2 linked regions of the Arabidopsis thaliana genome follow. The protein of the gene in region 2 binds, or shares a complex with, the protein of the main gene of each other region. Each region holds a gene or a part of one and is shown on either strand. Other genes may lie near its edges. A codon is read from its position in the direction of its gene.

Region 1 (3,953 bases), on a different chromosome or scaffold from region 2:
AGAGAATATTTCCTGTAACGTTTTGAAGAGGGATTTCGTTAATAACACAGTCGTCTTCGAGCAGGTGCTTTACGATCTGCAGTTTTCGTGCCACCACTTCCTCAACTTGGAAAGACTCGCCATCGGAACTAGTCAACACAATCTTGTTAGAAGACATTTTGTTTGCTTTGTGTGTTAAACGAAAAAATAAGTTTTTGCTTTTATTTTTTGTGCAGAGAAATTTGATGAGAGATTGTTGAATGAAAAATAAAAGAGTCGATGAATGTGTTTATCTATAGAAATCCTAAGAGTCGGTCAATTTGTGTTTTCCTTTTCCAATTAGAATTAGGTTTCATGTTGTTTCCTTTTTCTCAAGGAAATAAGGAAAATAACGCAAATTCTAACTTAACTAGTTTGTTGGGATTAACCCCTTTTATTGGATCCGCAAAAGAGAAAGATATTTATTTGTAAAATTTTATATTTATATATCTATATAAAATATCAAATTTATATCTTGGAAACTTATAAAGTATTTATTTGTATAAAAATATTTTTATGTTTAAATATAAGATCAATCCATAATACTCATATAAGTTCTATGCAATGACGATTGTAACAAGCTAAAAATTATAAATCACAAGATATGTACCATCCATTTTGATCCAAAAGAGTCAATGTACTAATTCATGCTTTGTTTCTTCCCTGTAAAGCTATTTGTAGCAGACTCCAACATGATTACGTATATGTTTTGGTCCTCATGTGTTGTTCATTGCTTTGGTTCTCATGTGTTGTTCATTGCTTTGGTTGATAAAGATTACATAAATGTTTTGGTGTTTCAGATCCCTGAAATCATCAGAAGGTTTGATGAGAAGCGTTTCACTTTGAAGGGTAACTGATTCCAAACTTGCTTCTAGTGATTTGATTATTTGATTTTGAGTCAACTGATGAGTGAGGATGTAGAGTACATGCATGAAGATGATGAGTGTTGAGCGAGATTTGGCTGAGAAGCTCACTACGAGGAGCTGTCTGGTGAATTCTTTGAATTTTTATTATTATTAGGCCAAACTTAAAGAAGCCCATCTCATACGAATAGACGCAGGCCGCAAATGGGCTCATGCAGTTCACTTATGCAATCCCAATGGATCTATATTACTGCTGAGAGATTTCTACAATTCGCAAATTCCATAGCTTGTGAATAGAAATTGTCTTGTTCATTATCAATTTGAATTTTTGTTCCCATAACAAATAATGAAAGATATAGTCTATATACATACGTATAACGTTCCAACCGAGATATTACAAATGTGAATGAACTCATTAAATACAACTTTAAGAATCTTTTCGAAATACAATTTCATGTAATTGTCAAAAAATTTTTGAAGCAAATCCTAAGAGATTGAAATTAAACCAAAAGAAAAAAAAAACAGTTAGTGTTTGAGATTATTCACCACAGAATTATGTCTCATGGAAGGTCCCGAAGGTGGTACAAGTACCCTTTTAGAAAATGAATGGAACACACGACCTTTGAATGTAAAACCCCCAATGATCTCTTGTCTTGATCTTGTTTGAACTATTTCCGTTTCAGAAAGCTTAATCGGTCCGATCCTTGCCGTGGCGTTGTATGAACCAAAAATCAAGAGGAAAACAATATAAAGAGTCATAAACATGGTTTTATGAGAAAGATTCATATAATGTTCGGAGAAAGAAGAAGAATAAGGAGGAGGAGACACTAATTTAGCTATTAGCTAGGGTTTTATAAATTTTGGATTTTAAGAAGGCGGTTTAAGTTTTGAGATGTATATATGAGCGTGTATATATATGATATATCATGTATGAAAGTATGCACATTCTTGTATGATTGGTCAAACAAGAAAAGCAAAAGAAAAATAAAGAAGTGAAGCGCAAGTAATGGAATGTTAGTATTTTGTGATAATATTAAAAGGTCAACGATACTACGATAGTGAATAAAAGACTTGAAATGCCGCGTTGGACGATGGTGTACGTACGTGTGATTACCTCTAGTTGTCTGTCAAAATTTAATTATCAAACATTATTGGTATTATATTGTGTAAAATATAATTTCATCATCAATTATGTGTGTAAAATTTAAATTTTTGTAAGAGAATCACGTTGTTGTAGACTTTGTATATTATATACACATTATGTGTGAACAAAAGAACAATGCGTACGTGATTGTTTAGTCCAAAGTTAGGTGCCAATGACTATCAAATCATTTGGTCTTCGATTTTGAAAGAAAAGTAAATTCTATTTTCCTTTTTCTTGTAGCTTTTTAACATGATCTCTTGAGAAGGACTTGCGTAAATAGTTTGAAGCTAACCACCATGTATAGTCCATAGGCCAAATAAACAAGTTTTGTTTAAAGAAATTATTTCCGTTATTAGGGGTTACCAAACAATTAATTTATCATATTTAATAGTTAATTATTCACCTGCAAATTATTTGTGGCACCTAATATTTAAATTATTTATCAGCACATAATTTTGTTCTGTTATAACAACTAACATAACATTTCGTCCAACAAAAATCTCTTTTCATAGGTTAATGTGTTTATATATTCATGTGACAACTTTCACGGAGTAGACGTAAATGTCAAACCATGCACACGCATGATCCGTTGGATTTTGATCGTCCACTGGAGACAGATATTCGTCTGGACCACTAGATTTCTGAGATTTTAATATGTTTGCATAATTATAGGTAATAACATATGATTTCTTCAGAATTATTCTAGAAATTTTAAAGTAGTCTATACTTATACTCTAGCACCAGAGTTTCATTTTATAAAATGCCAATAATCTATTTGAAACGTGTAATGCTTTTGACCATTTATTAAGATTTGTGTTGGTACTAGTGGACAAATTTTAAGTTTACTTACTCAAGATTTATAACAAAATATACAAATTTAAATATTGTGTTAATCAATCATGATACAACCATAATTAATAATAATCATGTGCATGAATGCAATGGCAAGGACTTCTTTTCAGTTGATACAATTTTTTAGTTTATTTACTCAAGATTTATAACAAAATATACATATTTAAAAATTGTGTTAATCAATCATGATACTCAACAATAATCAAGTGCATGAATGCAATGGCAAGGGCCAAGGACCAATAAATCAAAAACGAATAAAAGAAAAAAACCATCCCCATTTAGGAGTACCAAATAAGAGCATAGAGACCAAGAAGAAGAAGAAGAAAGAATACGTATGTGGCCCATGGGGTGTATCTACATTTATATTATAAAAGAATTGAAGTACAATTACAATTGATAAATCCGTTGCTTAAACCAAGCATGAAATGTAAACGCAAAAAGAGCCTTGGTGGTTACATGGTTAGGCTACATTGGCTAACAATGGAGGAACAAAGCTCGATCCTTTAAGAGTCTGCTCAAATATGTGACCCACTTTCAGCAATTTCTCCTAAAACCAATCAACAAATCATCATGTGAATCTTAATCTAATCTTTTAGAGTAAGCAAAGAGACAGAGTTTATAACAAACCTCATCAAACGCTGCTCCGATCATTTGAAGACCAACAGGAAGACCCGAGGGACCACCTTCGACTAATCCACAAGGTAATACCATTGCAGGAAGTCCGGCAAGATTCACATTGACCTGCAACAAACCTCATATGATACAAACTATGTTTCGTGTAACAACGATTAAATAGAGAAAGAAACTACGAAAGATTTTTACCGTCATAATGTCTCCAGCATACATTGCCAGTGGATCATCTTTCTTTTCACCAATCTTGTATGCAGCAGATGGAGCTGCCGGAGAAATAAGGATATCGTTCTGTTCTAACGCTGCTTTGAAGTCTTTTCGAATTAGTGTCCTCACCTGTATTAACAACCAAACAAAAAGAGCATACATTTATCTATCAAAACAGGTTCTATTTCTATTGACTGCATTTGAAGATGCGGCTTACCTGTTGAGCTCGCTTGTAGTAA
Region 2 (7,064 bases):
ACTTGATTAACTAAGTAATGAAATTAAAAATATAAACAAAACTAATTTGACGGTTTCTTTCAATCAACTAGCTAGCAACAATTTGTAGGATGAAAGAGACTTTGCTTATAACAATCTCATAAGACAGAGATTTGTAGCTATTGTAGTGTACGTAATTTCTTAAATGTCTATCTTATAGGATACAAGTGTCGAACTCCGTTTAGTGTACCCTAATTTTTTTTTGACAACTTGTATTGTGTGTTTCACAGAAACTATTAGAAACACGAAGAAGAGAAGACTGCTTGGAATCAATCTATCTCCAAAATTTCACTCATCTATCTCTTTAAATATCATTCAAATGGTATGTTGATTAAAGTGATGCTTTTCTCAACCGATACATATGTTAGAACATACGTTTTCTAACTAACATATATGTAGGCAAAATTTGTGTTGTTCTTTTATGAGTTTATTATTTTGTTAAATTAAGATTAACTAAAATAAAATCAAATTCCAACTGATAAACTAAGATTGAGATTATGATAGTAAACGTAACAATTCTCATAATGTAACGGGCATGAAATCCAAATCGTAAGAAAATAAAAACAAAAATAGATAACAATTTTTTTTAACTGGATTCAACAATGTATTCACGTCCTCAAAAACAAAATTCTTGAACACAAGTACAGTTAGTGCAACTCTTTTTCACATCCTACAAAATAATTTACGATTTCGTTTAGCCGTAACAACTTATGAAAACCAAGTTGTGAGAATAAGAACAAAGTGTACACACAGTTTGTTTTTCACAATACATTATTTTACGTCTTCCAATTTTGTTGCATATCAACCTAAAATTTAAAAACCATAAAGAACTCTTATTCGACTCGAATACTTTTTTAAGACTATGACATCTCTAAGATAAGCAATACTCATGACTCTCGCTTGAGAAGTGCATTCTCATATTGACTACACCATTAGGCAATATGTTTCCTAACGTTTAACCATACAAGTTTGTCCCCCTCTTTCCCTTTGCAATACTAATTAGTATAACAAATTTCATTAGAGAATGTTTAATTTCATAAATATCTCAATATTTTGATATCTTATCCTATCTTCCATATTTTCTTTGCATTTTTTGTAAATAACTACATATTATTATCTTCAAAAATGAATTTCACATTTCAACAAAATAAAATATTTTCATGTTTCTACATGCATGCTAGTTTATTCTCTTAATAGTTGATACAATATTCCTAATACTCTTTAAGACGTGCATAAACTTTTTAAAATTGAATGATAATTAATTTAATTCACATCGACTTTAGACTACGTTCCAAGTAAACTTCCAACACATTCTGTTTTTTTTTTTTTTGATATGTTCTAACAATATTTGTACTTTACTACTTTACAAACGCCGATAATAAATAAAACTGTCGGAATATATCTCATTCCATCTCCAAAAAAAAAAAAAAAAAAAAATCAGATATCTACATTTCAAAATTAATGTTTACCGTACCTTCTTTTCACCTTGCAATTTTTTTAAAATGCACATTTACTCTACTAACTAACTTTTCATTTACATTAAAAACATATATAATGAAATCAAATTTGTATGCAAATTCCATATATATTATAAAGCTAAAATTATTTAATTGAAAATTTACAATCTTATCGTCTCCTACATAACTAATTTAAAAACAGTTGCATTCTCTTAAACAACAAAGTACAAAAAAAGAATGTTTCCTTCCATATGGCTATTTAGCTAGATCATCATTATTAGTAACATTCTCTTTTATAATCAGATAAACACAGGATAATTATACAATGTTGGAAACTCGACATAGATACTAATAATTGCAAACAAATAATTAGAGAGAATCGTTATAGAAAACAAAAACAAAATAAATGATAGTAGAAAAACAAATGATTTTTATAGCATTCACAGTCAGAGTCACGATAATTCACCTGTCTCCGGTCAACGCTTTTTATAGACTCTCTTCTTCTCTTCCTTCAAAGCACTCTCTCACAAACACTCTCTTCTTCATACTCTCTTATCTCTCTCTCTTTCTTCAACCACCGTCATAGATACCGGGGAAGACGAAGAAACATGTATCTTCTCTTTCTCTTCTTACTTTTCCCCACCGTCTTCTCTCTTAACCAAGACGGTTTCATTCTTCAACAAGTCAAGCTCTCGTTAGACGACCCAGACTCATATCTCTCTTCCTGGAACTCCAACGATGCTTCTCCTTGTCGGTGGTCCGGCGTTTCCTGCGCCGGTGATTTCTCCTCCGTCACTTCCGTAGACCTCTCCAGCGCTAATCTCGCCGGACCTTTTCCTTCAGTCATTTGTCGTCTCTCTAATCTGGCTCATCTCTCTTTGTACAATAACTCCATCAACTCTACTCTTCCTCTCAACATCGCTGCTTGTAAGAGTCTTCAAACTCTCGATCTCTCTCAGAATCTACTCACCGGTGAGCTTCCACAAACTCTTGCCGATATTCCGACTTTGGTTCACTTAGATTTGACCGGTAACAACTTTTCCGGTGACATTCCGGCGAGTTTCGGCAAATTCGAAAACCTAGAGGTTCTTTCTCTTGTTTACAATCTCTTAGACGGTACGATTCCTCCGTTTCTCGGCAACATCAGCACGTTGAAGATGCTGAATCTTTCGTATAACCCCTTTAGTCCGAGTCGGATCCCGCCGGAGTTCGGGAACTTGACGAATCTCGAGGTTATGTGGCTCACTGAGTGTCATTTAGTCGGACAGATCCCTGACTCGCTGGGTCAACTCAGTAAACTCGTTGATTTAGACCTTGCGCTCAACGACCTTGTAGGTCATATTCCTCCTTCGCTCGGTGGTTTGACTAACGTCGTTCAGATTGAGCTGTACAACAACTCGTTGACCGGAGAGATTCCACCGGAGCTCGGGAATTTGAAATCGTTGAGACTTCTCGACGCGTCGATGAATCAGTTAACCGGGAAAATACCGGACGAGCTTTGCCGTGTGCCGTTGGAGAGTTTGAATCTCTACGAGAACAATCTAGAAGGTGAGCTTCCGGCGAGTATAGCGTTATCTCCGAACTTGTACGAGATTAGAATATTCGGAAACCGGTTAACCGGTGGATTACCAAAAGACCTCGGTCTAAACTCGCCGTTGAGATGGTTGGATGTTTCGGAAAACGAATTTTCCGGCGACTTACCGGCGGATCTGTGTGCGAAAGGAGAGCTAGAGGAGTTGTTGATTATACACAATTCCTTCTCCGGCGTTATACCGGAGAGTCTCGCCGATTGCAGGAGCTTGACACGTATCCGGTTAGCTTATAACCGGTTTTCCGGTTCAGTTCCTACAGGTTTCTGGGGATTGCCTCATGTTAACTTGCTTGAGCTCGTCAACAACTCGTTCTCCGGTGAAATTTCGAAGTCCATTGGAGGTGCTTCAAATCTCTCGCTGTTGATTCTCTCCAACAATGAATTCACCGGATCTTTGCCGGAGGAAATTGGTTCTTTGGATAATCTTAATCAGTTGTCGGCAAGTGGGAACAAGTTCAGTGGCTCGTTGCCTGATAGCTTGATGAGTCTTGGAGAATTAGGTACTCTTGATCTTCATGGTAATCAGTTTTCAGGAGAGTTAACTTCTGGAATCAAATCTTGGAAGAAGCTCAACGAGTTAAACTTAGCCGATAACGAATTCACCGGTAAAATTCCAGATGAAATCGGGAGTTTGTCAGTATTGAACTATCTTGATCTTTCTGGTAACATGTTCTCTGGCAAGATCCCGGTTTCATTGCAGAGTTTGAAGCTAAACCAGCTGAATCTGTCTTATAACCGGTTATCGGGTGACTTACCGCCTTCTTTAGCGAAAGATATGTATAAGAATAGCTTCATTGGGAACCCGGGATTGTGTGGGGATATCAAGGGATTGTGTGGCTCTGAGAATGAAGCTAAGAAGAGAGGCTATGTATGGCTTCTTAGATCGATTTTCGTACTTGCTGCGATGGTGCTTCTTGCGGGTGTTGCTTGGTTCTACTTCAAGTACAGGACTTTCAAGAAAGCAAGAGCCATGGAGAGATCTAAGTGGACTCTAATGTCGTTCCACAAACTCGGGTTCAGTGAGCATGAGATTCTTGAAAGCTTGGATGAAGATAATGTGATTGGAGCTGGAGCTTCAGGTAAAGTTTACAAGGTTGTACTCACCAATGGGGAAACTGTTGCGGTTAAGCGTTTATGGACAGGTTCTGTTAAGGAAACTGGAGATTGTGATCCAGAGAAAGGTTACAAACCTGGAGTTCAAGATGAGGCTTTTGAAGCTGAAGTTGAGACATTGGGTAAGATTAGGCATAAGAACATTGTGAAGCTATGGTGTTGCTGTTCTACAAGAGACTGCAAGCTCTTGGTTTATGAGTACATGCCTAATGGTAGTTTGGGAGATTTGCTTCATAGCAGTAAAGGAGGAATGTTGGGATGGCAAACGAGGTTTAAGATTATCTTAGATGCGGCTGAGGGGCTTTCGTATCTTCACCATGATTCTGTTCCTCCGATTGTGCATAGAGATATTAAGTCAAACAATATTTTGATCGATGGAGATTATGGTGCAAGAGTTGCTGATTTTGGTGTGGCTAAAGCTGTCGACTTGACCGGAAAAGCTCCTAAATCGATGTCAGTGATCGCTGGTTCATGCGGTTATATCGCACCAGGTTAGTCTTATGATTCAAGTTAAATGTGCTTTGTTTAATCAACAGTTTTGCTTAAGGTAATAATGCTCATTTGGTACATGTTGCACGGAGATTCAGATGAACCACATTTAAGTTTTATTAGTTGAGACTTAAATGAGCATTCACTATCTATTGAGACATGTCTGAAACCATGGCTCCACAACTTCTCACTTGTCCATTAATGGAATTTGAAACTTTTTGTTTGTTTGTCTGTTTCCCTCCATAACTTTCATTTCAAACTTCTTGCAGAATACGCATATACGCTTCGTGTGAACGAGAAAAGCGACATCTACAGTTTCGGGGTAGTGATCCTTGAGATAGTAACTAGGAAACGCCCGGTTGATCCAGAACTTGGGGAGAAGGATTTGGTGAAGTGGGTTTGCTCTACATTGGACCAAAAAGGCATAGAGCATGTGATAGACCCGAAACTCGACTCTTGTTTCAAAGAAGAGATAAGCAAAATCCTCAACGTTGGACTCCTCTGCACGAGTCCGTTGCCCATTAACCGACCTTCCATGAGGCGTGTGGTTAAGATGTTGCAAGAAATTGGTGGTGGAGACGAAGATAGCCTACACAAGATAAGAGATGACAAGGATGGCAAGTTAACACCTTATTACAACGAAGACACCTCAGACCAAGGAAGTATAGCTTGAGACACAAATGGAGAAAGAAAAGTGTTTTGCCCAAAAAAGCTCTCTCAATTTTTGGTGCTTGAAGCTGTCAATTTAGGGCATTGAATCAAGATTCTCTCACCCCTTTTTAGGGTTTTGATCTAAAAGTGAGAATCAGAGATTGTCGAAATTTTTATAATATATATAAAGAAGTTTCTAATTCAGCGTTTCAGTTTCTCCACTGTATAAAGCTATTAGTAAACTCTGGTTTTGTAAGAGTTTTTATCTTTGGTAAATGCAAATGAAAAAGTTGCGATCTTTCTGGCGTTAACATGCATTTAAATAGTTTCCATATTTGGGTAAACAGATTCAAGGTTCGTGTAGGAACATGTCTATCTGAATCTTTTAAAGCATTAGGCTCTCTCTCTCTCTCTCGTTTTTAGTGAACTCTTGGAGGCTCGTGTACAGTTTGATGTCACTGTAGATTCACATGTCTCTTAAATTCTCAACTTTTTCAAACCAACTTTTCTATTATTATTTATAATTTCAGGTTGTGTTATTTCCTTTACTTACTCTCTCCGTACACGAGCATGAACATCAGACTTGGCACATGAAATGACTAATATCAACCTTCCTGCGAAAAGATCTCTAACTTTTAGTTACTTGTGTGAAGTCTAGTATCTATAATAAACAACGTATGTTTTTTTGACAGTCATTCTTTAAAACATGATATTCTTGGAGTTCGAGAACTATTTGTAAGAAAGATATAATTCCAAAAAGAGAAAAAGAATTAGTTAAGTCATGTAAATCGACCGGTAGTGATTAGGTAAACGTTTAACTTCCTAATTGCAATTAAGTAACGACATTAAAAACTAAAGAGATAACTTCTATTATTGTTGAGTATAAAACAAATCCAAAACAAAAACATTGACATCTCAACATTAGCTAAGCTTTATCATCTAACTAGAGAATTTTACATTAAGGTTACATAAATAGGGTGAGAATCTAAATATGAGCTGTTGGGTGAGGAAATTAAAAGTGGGTCCAATAAGCATTGAAGCCAGCCCACATTGTTATCATTCAATTCAAGGGACATAGACACCTCACCTTCATCTTTTGCCTTGTCTCTCTGTCTCTTTCACTCTCTAAATCATTTCTCAATTTTGTTTTCTTTGTTTTTGCATTTCCTTTTTGTTTATTTTTTTCAACTTGTTGCATGATGAGGTTTCATAGAGATTCCACATAACATGTTTGTATTTGCTAGAACAAGTACACTCTTTTTTTATTCTATTTTGATAGTTGTGTGAAGTTTCTTTTATATGTGATGCAACTTTGTTCTAGTAATTTTGGTATAGTAGTCTTGCTAGTGGTTGGTATGATATGAGTAAGATAGTTCGTGGGTAGCATAATTATTTATAAGAAACAAAGAATTATAATGGAAAGCATAGTAGGGACTAAGGGACCAAAGTTCAATAGATAAGGTCAGGATTGCGAAATGATCATGTACATCATTAATACATATGAGAGTAATTGAGTGTTATTGTGACCCACACCACACGGTACACACTCACACCTTAGGGGTCATATGGCTTTTAAATGGGCCTATCGGACCCACATTGTTTTCCACATTTTTGAATAAGTCTTACATATCGACTCTACTCTCTCTATTCTCAAATTTGTCAAAGGCCCATTAAAAAAACTAGGAAAGACAAAAGACGATTTTGGTATATGTTTTTTTATATTTTTTTGTAAAGATAATATATGT

What was found. Proteins that work in one complex are often made in the same cells at the same time.
Region 1: the proteins of HSL1 (region 2) and IDL1 are in contact, whole or in part, in a crystal structure (PDB 7OGO), measured with the Arabidopsis thaliana proteins. Residues at the interface, in NP_174166.1 of Arabidopsis thaliana: Tyr92 (codon at 2,357), Asn93 (codon at 2,360), Gln117 (codon at 2,432), Thr140 (codon at 2,501), Gly141 (codon at 2,504), Val164 (codon at 2,573), Tyr165 (codon at 2,576), Tyr189 (codon at 2,648), Trp211 (codon at 2,714), Asp233 (codon at 2,780), Asp235 (codon at 2,786), Gln257 (codon at 2,852), Glu259 (codon at 2,858), Tyr261 (codon at 2,864), Leu281 (codon at 2,924), Leu282 (codon at 2,927), Asp283 (codon at 2,930), Ser285 (codon at 2,936), Met286 (codon at 2,939), Ser304 (codon at 2,993), Asn306 (codon at 2,999), Tyr308 (codon at 3,005), Glu309 (codon at 3,008), Glu328 (codon at 3,065), Arg330 (codon at 3,071), Phe332 (codon at 3,077), Asp354 (codon at 3,143), Ser356 (codon at 3,149), Glu376 (codon at 3,209), Leu378 (codon at 3,215); in NP_566774.1 of Arabidopsis thaliana: Val66 (codon at 1,472), Leu67 (codon at 1,469), Val68 (codon at 1,466), Pro69 (codon at 1,463), Pro70 (codon at 1,460), Ser71 (codon at 1,457), Gly72 (codon at 1,454), Pro73 (codon at 1,451), Ser74 (codon at 1,448), Met75 (codon at 1,445), Arg76 (codon at 1,442), His77 (codon at 1,439), Asn78 (codon at 1,436).

The regions. Positions count from the first base shown.
Region 1 is NC_003074.8:9,336,303-9,340,255, forward strand, and holds IDL1 (inflorescence deficient in abscission (IDA)-like 1), read right to left. Parts: upstream 1,774-3,953; 5' UTR 1,668-1,773; coding exon 1,407-1,667; 3' UTR 1,129-1,406; downstream 1-1,128. Other genes in the region: SK15 (SKP1-like 15), read right to left, coding at 1-157; AT3G25660 (Amidase family protein), read right to left, coding at 3,338-3,424, 3,505-3,618, 3,700-3,843, 3,932-3,953. UniProt on the Arabidopsis thaliana protein: Involved in an ethylene-independent separation step of floral abscission. May act with RLK5 and HSL2 as ligand-receptor pairs.
Region 2 is NC_003070.9:9,994,831-10,001,894, forward strand, and holds HSL1 (HAESA-like 1), read left to right. Parts: upstream 1-1,882; 5' UTR 1,883-2,083; coding exon 2,084-4,670; intron 4,671-4,937; coding exon 4,938-5,341; 3' UTR 5,342-5,625; downstream 5,626-7,064.